Xenopus tropicalis: one gene and its partners. The protein of the gene in region 2 purifies or fractionates together with the protein of the main gene of each other region. This does not show direct contact. Links are inferred from orthologs where the notes say so. Each region holds a gene or a part of one and is shown on either strand. Other genes may lie near its edges. The genes, in order: lig3, pnkp and xrcc4.

Region 1 (4,388 bases), on a different chromosome or scaffold from region 2:
TTCTGTTATTCCCACGTAATTATAAACCTGTTCCACAGCGCTGCACTGTTTGCATTGAATGCACTGATTCACATACAAAACAACCAGTTGCCTAAACAAGAGATAAAGAGGCACTACATATTGGGAAGGGATCCCCAAGCGTTTTTACTTTGAGCCACACTTGTGTTCATAAGGCACAGACGTAGGAAAAAAGTTCTTTTAGGATCCTAAATAAAGCTGGCCATACACGCACCGATAATATCGTATGAAACCTCGTTTCGTACGATATTCGGTGCGTGTATGGCAAGTCGGCGAGGCGACCGATATCGCAGGAAGCTGCTGATATCGGCCGACTCGCCGATCAGACCAGTTTGAAAATTTTGATAAGGCGCCTGACCAAAATCTCCCTTCAGCGCTGAATCGGCAGAAGGAGGTAGAAATCCTATTGTTTCTACCTCCTTACCTGCCAATTCAGCCCTGAATGGTGTGTGGCGGATCTGACGATGTTTCGTGCGACTGATGGTCACACGAAACATCGTCAGATCGCCACGTGTATGGCCAGCTTTAGGGCTGTGACGTGGCTATTTGGTGGCCCCATATTTTGAGTAAAACGGTCTCTCTGCGTCCAAACTCGCCTCCCAAGCCACTTGTTGGGGGTCACCGTTATAGGGGATCGCCATCTGAAAACTGTTTTTGCATAATGAGAGGCAATGTAATTCTAAGCCAGTTTCCTCTATACGTTTTCAGGGGATTTGCAGTTATTCGATAATTTATGGGAAAGTTGTTTACATTTTCTTTATTATCCTATATGGTTTTTTAGCAGGATCCTAAATGGGTTAGGGTTTACTTAAAGGAGAAGGAAAGGTAAAAACTAAGTAAGCCAACCATAAATACAGCCATAAGCACTCACAGTAATGCTGCACTGAGTCCTCTATCAAAAGAAACACAGGATTTTTTTGTCTCTTTTTTATTTTGTAAGCATGATGTTCCAGTGTCTGACTTTCTCTCTCAGAAACATCCTTAATTCCCCTGACCAGAGTCTGCGCAACTCTCTCCCCTCTCTTGCTCCTCCTCCCACCAGAATGCTAAGAACTCCCTCCCCCCCTCCCTTAGGAATGTGTGATCTGAGCTATAACTGCTAGAGACTGCAGGCAGGAAGCTACTTAAAATGGCAGCTGCTATCTTAAGCAAACAGAGAAAGCTTCTAAAGCTGTTTACTCAGGTATGGTAATGTTTTCTGCAGAATAAATATATTGTTATAGGTGGCACTAATGTGGCAAATCTATTGGCAGTAAAATGCCAAAATGACTTTCCTTCTCCTTTAAGGATCCAAGATATTTTGTGGAATTAAGGTACATTTTCTTACTATTATATATTGTCTGTTATCCAACTCCCAATCCATGTTTCTCTAATGGTCTAGTGAAAATAAAACCATTTTCAGATGTCAACGGGCTTTTTAATTTGTTTGTCTGTGTTATAGTAACAGGTTGATTTGCTGAATACATGTCAATGTTGCTGCTATTGGTTATATGTACTGTCTTATTCCTTCACGTGTAGTAATATGGACTGTCTATTTCCTTTACTTTCCTGTTTAGGTCAAGAAGCAACAAGAAAACAGATTTTTCATTATTAGAGCAATAGGCAAGTATATTCACCAGTCCTTGTAACTGAACTTATATTCCACAAGTGGGTATACAGGTATGGGACATGTTATCCAGAATGCTCGGGACCTGGGGTTTTCCGGATAAAGGGTCTTTCCTTAATTCGGATCTCCTACCTTAAGTAAAAATGTGAATTATTTGATTAAAATGGAGTCTATGGGAGATGACCTTTTCGTAATTCTGGATAATGGGTTTCCGGATAAGGGGTCCGATACCTGTACTGCCCCTTGCAATGATTTCACTTTCAAACTGCTGCCTAAAATCTGTCTCTAAAATATTTTATCTTTTAAACTAGGTGGTCTATGAGGGCATTTCTTAGACTTCTGGCATATCAGACCAAAAGGACACTTGGCCAGTCCTTAACAAAAGTTCCTTTACGAGTTATTTTTCATGCCTGTTGGAGCCAGTCGCCTCTCCACAGTGCTTTGCACTTCCAATTCTTTTTAAGAGTTACACATTTCTCCAACATGGCGGAACAGCGATACTGTGTGGAATATGCAAAACGTGGGACTGCTGGTTGCAAGAAATGCAAGGAGAAGATTGGAAAGGGTTTGGTACGCATAGGTAAAATAGTGCCAAACCCTTTTAGCGAGTCTGCTGGGGACATGAAGGAGTGGTACCACATCAAGTGCATGTTTGAGAAACTGGAGAGAGCGCGGGCAACTACAAAAAAAATTGATGATCTGACAGAACTGGAAGGTTGGCAGGAACTTCAAGACTGTGATAAAAACCTAATCAGCCAGCATGTCACTGGTAAACCTCTACTTGCATACTGTTTGTCTGGCTTACAATTGATTTTGTAACCATTTTATATTAAGTTCGCAATAAAAATCTAAAATGTCCAACAGTGCTCTACAGCAGATGTCCAGCCAAAAATAATTTGCTTTCCATAATAAAAGATGTAATTCTAAGCCACGTTCCGTTATATCTTAAAGGACATGTAAACCCCACACACACAATTTTAATCAGTGAACAGCCTCTTTCAATCTTTAAATACCTGCCACACTAGTTGTCCAGAGGTTAATAATAAGGCTGCAGCATCCCCTTAGATTTCCTTCTCCTCCTGTAACCCACTCGGCCCCCTCCCTCAGAAATTTGCTTTGACTTCTGGCTTGTGGGTATGCTCCGTTGTTAAAAGCTCAGATTACTAAACATGCCCTCCAGTCTAGCAGCCAGTGAAGAGATGGCATTGCTGGTTCCCATAGAAACTCCGCTCTAGCTGTCTGCTTCAATTTTGTTCTCCCAACCAACTCTCCTGAACTCAGCTCAAACAAAGCAGAACTTGTATCAGGCAGTTGTGCCTGTGTGAGCCCGTATTCTTGATGAAATGTGTTCTGAATAAGGGTCTGTGTGTGTGTATGTGTGTATGCTGTTTGCAGATTAAAATGTATCAGAGGAAAAAATTCCACCGGGTGAAAGTTGCTATTTGCTTTAGGAAAATGTGATGGTGCTAGCAAATGTAGGTGATATATGCAGTACAGATGATGCCATTTGAGTGGGGGAGACATGCCCAACTGATATACATTCTAGGCAAAAGTAGGCTTTACATGTACTTTAAAGGAATACTGTCATGGGGAAAACATGCTTTTTTTTCCAAAACACATCAGTTAATAGAGCTTCTCCGGTAGAATCCTGCATTGAAATCTGTTTTTCAAAACCGAAAACAGATTTTTTTTTTTTTTTTTTTTTATATTTAATTTTGAAATTTAGCATGGGGCTAGCCATATTCTTCATTTTCCAGGGTGCCACAGCCATTTGACCTGTGTTCTGATAAACTTCAGTCACCACTTTACTGCTGAGCTGCAAATTGAAGTGATATCACCCCCCTCCCAGCAGCCTATCAGCAGAACAGTGGGCAGGGAGCACAAAAGTTGGCAATAGTAGCTGAGTCTGAAGCATGTGTTCATGCTACAGCAACCCTGTGTTGATCAACCATAGGTAAAGCACTTAGTTGTAGGTGAGCTGAATGCATCTGTTGAAAACCTTATAGGTAATATCCTATGTTCAGATTGGTAGAAGGCTTGTACATCATGACCTAAGGCCTTGATGAAACTAGCTTTTGAGTTCCAAAAGTAACTGTTCCAAATAAGTTCTTATGTTATTGCACAGCTAGTACACACGCTACTAATATGACTTTCCTTTGTTTACAGAACTTGCTACAAAAACAGCAGCTACACCTCGAAAAAAGACTCCGTCCAAGGAAAAACAATCACCGGCAGTACAAGGAACAACTTCCACTACAGCACCAGCAGCTAGTCCCTCTCTAAAATTTTCAGGTTTCTCTGGTAATGCTTTATTTCTAGCACAGTAAAATTGTGATACTAATCGGAATCACACCATTATTAATCATAACTAACTCACCACTCCTCTCCCAGCCAATAGTTACTGACATTTCTGGTAGCACCAAATAGATATACATGTAAACATTATTTTCTTTGTTTTATATGCTTTGTATTCTTTTCTTTCTTTCTGCAATCATTATTTTATAACTTGTTTTTGCGGTTATAAAATGGGTTAAGTTGTGTGTGGTTTTTAAATCTGATATTCCCAGCAAACTAATATTAATGTAATATATTGTATTGTTTTTGTTCATCATTTGCCTTGGACATCTTGGAATTAATTGTAGTGCCTTTTTTTAACAGCAAAACCCAGTCAATCATCAAGCCCACCAAGCTCAAGCACTGGCTCCAGTCTTTCAACTGCAAAGTGTGACCCAAAACATAAGGACTGTCTTCTGCGTGAGTTCCG
Region 2 (3,653 bases):
AGTGCTGGAAATGAAACACTCTTGATTTGTAAAAATGCTTAACTGTAACTGAGCGGGTTTTATTAAACTGGATGCAAATCTGTGTGTCACGGTAATAATGCTGGGATTGTGGGAAAAACACAGCATTATAGGAAAACAACAAGGTGAATTGCACACTGCGGCTGCGTTCGTAAATGACAACTATGGTGTTTTCTCCTCAAATCTCACCTGTGTCTGAAACCATTAACTTCAACAGTAGCTGTCTGTCACTGTACACAAGGCAGATTTTGGCCCAAAAAAGTGAATTTTCTTTCCAAAATCTGCCTGTGTTCACAGTCCCTAACAGATTACACTGCTGTAATTACAATACTCAGGTTGGCCAGTAGGGGGGTGAGCGGTCATTTTCTTTGTGGGTGAAGAAATGTGCAACATAAGCCTTGTGGCCATACACGCACCGATATTATCGTACGAAACCTCGTTTCGTACGATAATCGGTGCGTGTATGGTATGTCGGCGAGTCGACCGATATCGCAGGAAGCTGCTGATATCGGCCGACTCGCCGATCGGACCAGTTGGAAAATTTTGATCGGGCGCCATAGAAGGCGCCTGACCAAAATTCTCCCTTCAGATCTGAATCGGCAGAAGGAGGTAGAAATCCTATTGTTTCTACCTCCTTACCTCCTCCTCCAGCCCTGAATGGTGTGTGGCGGATCTTACGATGTTTCGTGCGACCGATGGTCGTACGAAACATCGTCAGATCGCCACGTGTATGGCCACCTTTAATTACATCCCTTCTATCCACCAATATCTCTAAGCACCTGCATGTGAGGTGGTGCCCTAGAATGGGGCCCCTTTCATGCCTTAGTCTTGGTGAGTCTGTAGCCTGTAAACCCCCCAAATGTTATGCCCTGGTATGAATAAAATAATCAAAAAGGTTACAAAAGTTGGAAATGTGTATTTAGGATTAGTGTTCTTTTATCACACATTGCACTTACCGGATCGAAGACAGGGAAATTAAAGGCAGCTTTTTTCCATCCAAGGAAAAACTCCTCTGGTGTGAAGAACTTTATGCCAATATTTAGAGCAAACTTTAAACAAAGCGAGATAAAAAAAACAAAACACAATTAGTGTGTGCTGGGCATTTAAGGTGCTTGTGTGCACCCATCAGTGCCAGGTAAATTCATCCAAAGACTCATAGGAACACAGTACAGGTTACCATGAAGGTGGCACACCAGTCCCATGACTAAGGTACAATGATTACCTTTGGTGGTATTTTTAGTTGCCCTTAAGTTTAGAATGAAGACACACTCCCTGGAATATTAGACATGCTTAGTAGCTCAGTCTACTGTCTAGGGACTAATCAATGTACAACCCAGAGCCACAAAGCATGTCGACGGCCAATGTGCACAGGAAAAGGGATTACTAAATAAAGAAAGATATGGTGGTTTGGGGTCTAACCTGCAGGCATGGATCCTTACTGTCATAGTGCTGCTGTACCTCTGAAAAAATACAACAAGCCCAAGCACAGGGTCCGCCATTATATCCTTATATATTAGGAACAGACTTATGGACAACCTTCATCCAGGATCTAATAGGGCAGAACGTGGTTAAGTTACATCCATGTGAATCAAGAAACATGAATGTTGACAATAAAAAGTGAGTGCTCATCATGATGGAAAATGAACAAAATGTTAATTAAACTAGAATTCTGTTTATCAGTTATTTTTTGTGGATGATTTGGAATAACTGGGAAATGATGTATCTGGTTCATCCTTAGCCAAAGCACTTAGTCCTGCAGAGTACAGCCTGTATGAAATAGAAGTGTGGTACATAAAGTATGTGCAGCCTTCAGTGTGAGCATACATGGCCACGTGCACATGTATTAGTATGACAACATACCCCCATAAGACTTTCAGCGGGCTTTATTAATGTGCAAAATGAGCACAAATGAGCCGAAATGTACAGAGTGCAATCACTTTACAGATCTTTCTTCTTTTCTACATTTAAAAGGAAAAAGAGCTTAGGAGGTTTTGAAAGAATGAGGTGGGTGGGGCAGCTAAAACACACAACGGGGGTCATTTATAAACACTGGGCAAATTAGCACCTGTACAGTAAACTGTGGCAATCAGAAGTTTGCTTTCATTGTTCTACCTGCAGCTATCTGGAATAATCAAATCACATATTGGTTGCAAAGAGTTACTGCCGAGGTGCAAATTTGCCCAGTGTTTATAAATGAGCCCCAATGTTTAAAAGACTTTATGAAAAACATATTTTCTCATTAAACAATTATTTATGTTCTACTATTACTTCAGCTGAGGCAACCAGTATAGTAGCATACACTCACATGGCAAAATGCAAGAAATGTCCTATTTCCCCTTTAATCTCTACCCTAGAGCTACGCTCTAGGCAAATTAGAAATGTATAATGAAGGAATAATTTTACAATTTCTGCCTACCAGCCGGTCACTGCAAGAAAAGTCCTTCTTCTTACGATCAGGGGCCCAATTAGCCGGCCGGCCGGCAGCATCTGCAGGTACAAGCACAGAAGACAAGGCATTATATAATGTTACCATGCATATGATGACTGACAGATGTGTTTTAAATGAATTACCTCCTACATAGAGGCAGTCTTCCTTCTTTACTTCAATCCCATCATTGGCCTGGGGAGGAAAGAAAGCTCATTCAAAGTGATTACTGATGCTAATTGCTCCACTCTGATACAGTTTATGTGTAAAGCCACTTTGATGTAATGTACTGTAAACAAGCAATATGTCAATAGTATACAAACAGTCTAAATATTCATGGAAAATACCATCTCTCTGGGCAGAGGAAAAGCCAATCTTAATGGCAGCCTTCTGGGGGAGAGGAAGGATCTATGGTGGGGCTATATGTAGTGTAGCCAGTATAGCGGCACTGGGGCTCAGAACTTTTAGCAAGCCCATGAAGTCCAACTGTAGGTAGGTTACTGGATTCTCTGACTAACTAAAGGGAGTACCAACTATTCTCTTACACTGAGCAGTTCTGTTCTGCCATGGGAAAGAATCTATAACTCACTAACACATCACTGTGCGTTAGTAATCAGTTTGACAATATTTTTTCTAAAAGCTGTGATGTTTTACTGTAAAGCTCTTACCTTGTTACAGAGATGGTCCCACATTCCAGTCACAGGTTTGCGGTAGATTCCCATACCAGTAGCCACAAAGACCTGTGATCAATTAAAATGAATGTGTGATTACTGATATATATAACATCAGTACCCTCTACCAGCACCCACAGTTTATTTTTAACCCTCACAGTTCCTACACAGATATAAAAAGATCATTTACCATTAATATGGAATAGGAACTTTGGACAGTCATAGAAATTATAATTAGTGTAAATATAAGCAGTTAATGTAAGCATAATGCCAACAGCAGTGTTAGAGGTGTAGTTATCAAGGCACTGTACAGGCATTATCGCTTTATTTGACAACTAAGTGCTTTTTTTATTGGTCCTACACAACAATGCACACAGACCTGCACAGGAATCCCCAAATGATCCAAAATGGCTTCCACTTTTGCTTTGAAAACTTCAGGCTTCAGCTTGCCACGGCTGATTCCCATCTGATTTGTGATGAAAATCACCTGGCACAAAGAAGTATATTAATAGCAATTGTCAAGCAATGTGGCAGCAGTC
Region 3 (3,653 bases), on a different chromosome or scaffold from region 2:
AGACTTTGGAGTGGCCTAGTCAAAGTCCTGACCTGAATCCTATTGAGATGTTGTGGCATGACCTTAAAAAGGCGGTTCATGCTAGAAAACCCTCAAATAAAGCTGAATTACAACAATTCTGCAAAGATCAGTGGGCCAAAATTCCTCCAGAGCGCTGTAAAAGACTCGTTCCAAGTTATCGCAAACGCTTGATTGCAGTTATTGCTGCTTAGGGTGGCCCAACCAGTTATTAGGTTCAGGGGGCAATTACTTTTTCACACAGGGCCATGTAGGTTTGGATTTTTTTTCTCCCTAAATAATAAAAACCCTAATTTAAAAACTGCATTTTGTGTTTACTTGTGTTATCTTTGACTAATAGTTAAATGTGTTTGATGATCAGAAACATTTTGTGTGACAAACATGCAAAAGAATAAGAAATCAGGAAGGGGGCAAATAGTTTTTCACACCACTGTATATACAGTTACTTCCAGGTACGGAAGTGATGTTTCCAGTGATATAACTTGTGCCCAAAACATCAGCTTCTATTGTGTCTTTATCCAGGTCTACTACACATACACATGCTTACAGGATATATTTTCCTCTGAAGTTTATAGCAAAAAGTATGGTGTAGTAGTAGTGGTGTTCTAAGACAATTGCAAAGGATCTACAAATTTTTAACAAAACATGAGGATCAACTGCAAAATTGCTTAAATGTATTTTATGTAGAACATAATGTATTAAAAGCTAAAATGCTGGGTAATGCCAAATTGAATTGAAAAATTAAATATTTTGGGTCAAATAGTATCAGAATCAGGATTGGTGAATGTAGCAATGAAATCTGAGCTGTCAGTGTAGACAGAGGAGTAGGGATGGTTAGTCCTACAAATAAGCAGAAAAGGTATCGCTGATCTATCTAAAAGGACTAAACCTGTCATTGCAAGTGCTATTTTTACTATTTCTTTATAAGAACCTACTACACATAAAATGTTAGTTTACATTTGTGTCAGCCTATTTTGTTCATGTTTTTTTTCCAACATATTGGCACAGCAGATAAAGCAAATCAGCACTTTTAGGTACCACTTTTGTTTTATGATTAATGAAATAAGGTTTAACTTAAAAATATTCCCAGCCTTTACTTTGCTACAGACTTATTTTTGTACAATAAGATAATTAAAGGAGAAATAGGCAGTTACACTATATATGGCTGTTGTGAATTTCTTACCAGTCTTAGAGGCAACTGCAGGGCTTTCCTGCTCCTCATCAGTTGAGCCAGCAAAGGCATCATACTTCATTTCCTTGGCCACAAGAGTATCATCAGGAGCAGTTTCTTCACTGTGTTGGAAAAATAGTATGAGTGACGCTATAGAATTACAATAACAGTACTACTGTGCCACAAATGAACCTTTATAGAGTAAAACTAACCAGTTAACTTTCATGAGCTGCATAAAACCATCCATCATTTTCATCTTTATTGTTGCTAGGAAATGTATTATTTACTATTATTATTTTAAATATAATTATTGAAGTCTTGTCATAAACCGGAAAAAAGTGCAGTATGCTACATGACAAGCATTTCAGGTTCTTTACAATATGAAAGCAATGGATCCACTATAATCATCCCCAAAAATGATTTGTTGCTAAATTGCTCTTGATATAACACTTGCTCTTCAAACGACAATGTTGTTCATCGCTTTACTTTACTTGCATTATTTGTTTCTGACTTTGTTCACACTTTCTTTCTATATCCTTTTTCCCTTGAATTTAAAGTGAATTTTTAACGTTTTCCTTTTTTCTCTTAAGACCACAACTAGCTGAGGATTCTGCTTACTTTCTCATTATTTCATATTATGATTTTTCATAACTTTTTGACTTATTTTTCTCTGATAAAGACCTTTACAGTAGCATTATGCTCTTTCTTTTTTGCCGCTACAGGAATCGGACCTGTTATCCAGAATGCTTGGGACAGGATACAGGGTCTTTCCATCATTTGAATTTCTATACTTTAAGTCTACTAAGAAATAAATAATTTAAATATTAATTTAAACCCAAAAGAACGGTTTTGCCTCCAAAAAGGATTAATTATAAGTACAAGATACTGTTTTATTATTACAGAGAAAAGGAAATAATTTTTTAAATTTTCAGTTATTTGATTAAAATGGAGTCTATGGGAGATGGCCTTCCTGTAATTCGGAGTTTTCTGGATAATGAGTTTTCTGTATAACAGATCCTATACATATACAAAACAATAACTTGAAAAAGTGCTAGAACAGATAGAAACATACAATGCATGGAAATATGACAGCAATCATTTGCCCCTAAATGGATAGTACTGCCAATACAATTTTAAATGAAGCCAGAGTAAGAAATGTGCTAATATACCTTTTTTGTTTGAGTCTTTCTTGTGATTCTAATAGTTTTTCCTTCAGGCTTCTGATTTTAGCTTTTTTCTCATTAAGAACACAGGTAAATCGAGTATAAAGGTCTCGCTCCAGTTCTTCTTTGCCATTCACAAACTTTTCCAGCCTGAAATCATACATTTTAATATAGATTTAAACTATTGATGAAAAAGTTTAACATTTCCTGAAAATTTCCTGAAAAGCAGCGCTAGGCCGGGGAATAAACTAACATATTGGCAGCCCCAGTAGATTCCTTTACTTTAGCTCAATAAAGTTGAGAAAAAAAGCTGCACTGTTAAAAAGCATATGGGTCTAAGACATTATGGGTAAAAAAAATGATGGTTCATTCAGTTTGTTTTTCCCCGCAATGCAGTATTTTCCCCATAATTCCAGACTTATCATATCTGTGAAATGGAGATGCACCTTGTTGCAATTGTGACAAGATATAAAAACATATAATTTGACAAGAACAGGGTAAAATTGCACAGAAAAAGTCCATGTTGTTACTGTCACTTGGTGTTAAAATGACAATTCTTTAGGAGCAAATCTGTTGTGCAGGCAACTGTGGGTACCTTGGAGCTACTGCTAACGTTACAGGTGGCGGTAGCTCCAGGGTTCCCCTGCGCACATATGGAAGTGCAGCTTTGGATGCAAGAATGTTTAGTGTGCAATGACTGCAGCAAACTTTGCTAACATTTTTTAGCGCTTAAATTGTACATAACCTCAGTAGTGTTTAACTACTGAGGTTACCAGATTGCAGTCAGCAAAATAGACTTTCCTCTCCCTTAGCGAAAACTTACTGCGCGTGCATGTCATTCCAGTCACACTGAAGCCTTTCATTTTCCTTCTGCAGGTGTTCATTTCTGCTATATAATTCAGAGGTGCAGTCCAGGCAATAGTTTATCAACTCTCTGATGACATGTGCCGGGTTCTGGACATTTTTTAGTTTAGTTGATCCAAGCTTAAACTGCAAAAAAAAAAAAAAAAAGTAATGAGACAAACTTAAAACTGTGAGAAGATGTAGCAAGCACAGCAGCACTCTGTGGGGGGGGGGGGGGGGGGGGATGGGGGGGGATGTAAATCTGTACAGTAATGTGGATTTTACCATTCACTAAATTGTAAACAGAAACACACCTGCATCTCAGTTAATGCCACTGAGAATTCACTTCATAATATAGTCACAAACTTTGTACCATAGAATTCAGGGACACGTCTAGAAAATCCAGCCAGCTGAACTGAGTGTTGCCCTGCAACATGTATTTATTAGATGTGTCCCTG

Evidence for each region.
Region 1: the proteins of pnkp (region 2) and lig3 purify together in Homo sapiens (co-immunoprecipitation; 5 studies listed by BioGRID and IntAct, with this or other methods). This does not show direct contact. The link is inferred for Xenopus tropicalis from reciprocal best matches to the Homo sapiens genes PNKP and LIG3.
Region 3: the proteins of pnkp (region 2) and xrcc4 purify together in Homo sapiens (co-immunoprecipitation; 5 studies listed by BioGRID and IntAct, counting the BioPlex papers as one, with this or other methods). This does not show direct contact. The link is inferred for Xenopus tropicalis from reciprocal best matches to the Homo sapiens genes PNKP and XRCC4.

The regions. Positions count from the first base shown.
Region 1 is NC_030686.2:27,256,426-27,260,813, reverse strand, and holds the start of lig3 (DNA ligase 3), read left to right. Parts: upstream 1-1,587; 5' UTR 1,588-1,620; intron 1,621-1,935; 5' UTR 1,936-1,942; coding exon 1,943-2,393; intron 2,394-3,790; coding exon 3,791-3,925; intron 3,926-4,282; coding exon 4,283-4,388. UniProt on the Homo sapiens protein: Isoform 3 functions as a heterodimer with DNA-repair protein XRCC1 in the nucleus and can correct defective DNA strand-break repair and sister chromatid exchange following treatment with ionizing radiation and alkylating agents.
Region 2 is NC_030683.2:117,562,351-117,566,003, forward strand, and holds part of pnkp (bifunctional polynucleotide phosphatase/kinase), read right to left. Parts: intron 3,602-3,653; coding exon 3,494-3,601; intron 3,184-3,493; coding exon 3,112-3,183; intron 2,639-3,111; coding exon 2,590-2,638; intron 2,506-2,589; coding exon 2,435-2,505; intron 1,068-2,434; coding exon 975-1,067; intron 1-974. UniProt on the Homo sapiens protein: Plays a key role in the repair of DNA damage, functioning as part of both the non-homologous end-joining (NHEJ) and base excision repair (BER) pathways.
Region 3 is NC_030677.2:181,163,114-181,166,766, forward strand, and holds part of xrcc4 (DNA repair protein XRCC4), read right to left. Parts: intron 3,343-3,653; coding exon 3,176-3,342; intron 2,503-3,175; coding exon 2,359-2,502; intron 1,312-2,358; coding exon 1,202-1,311; intron 1-1,201.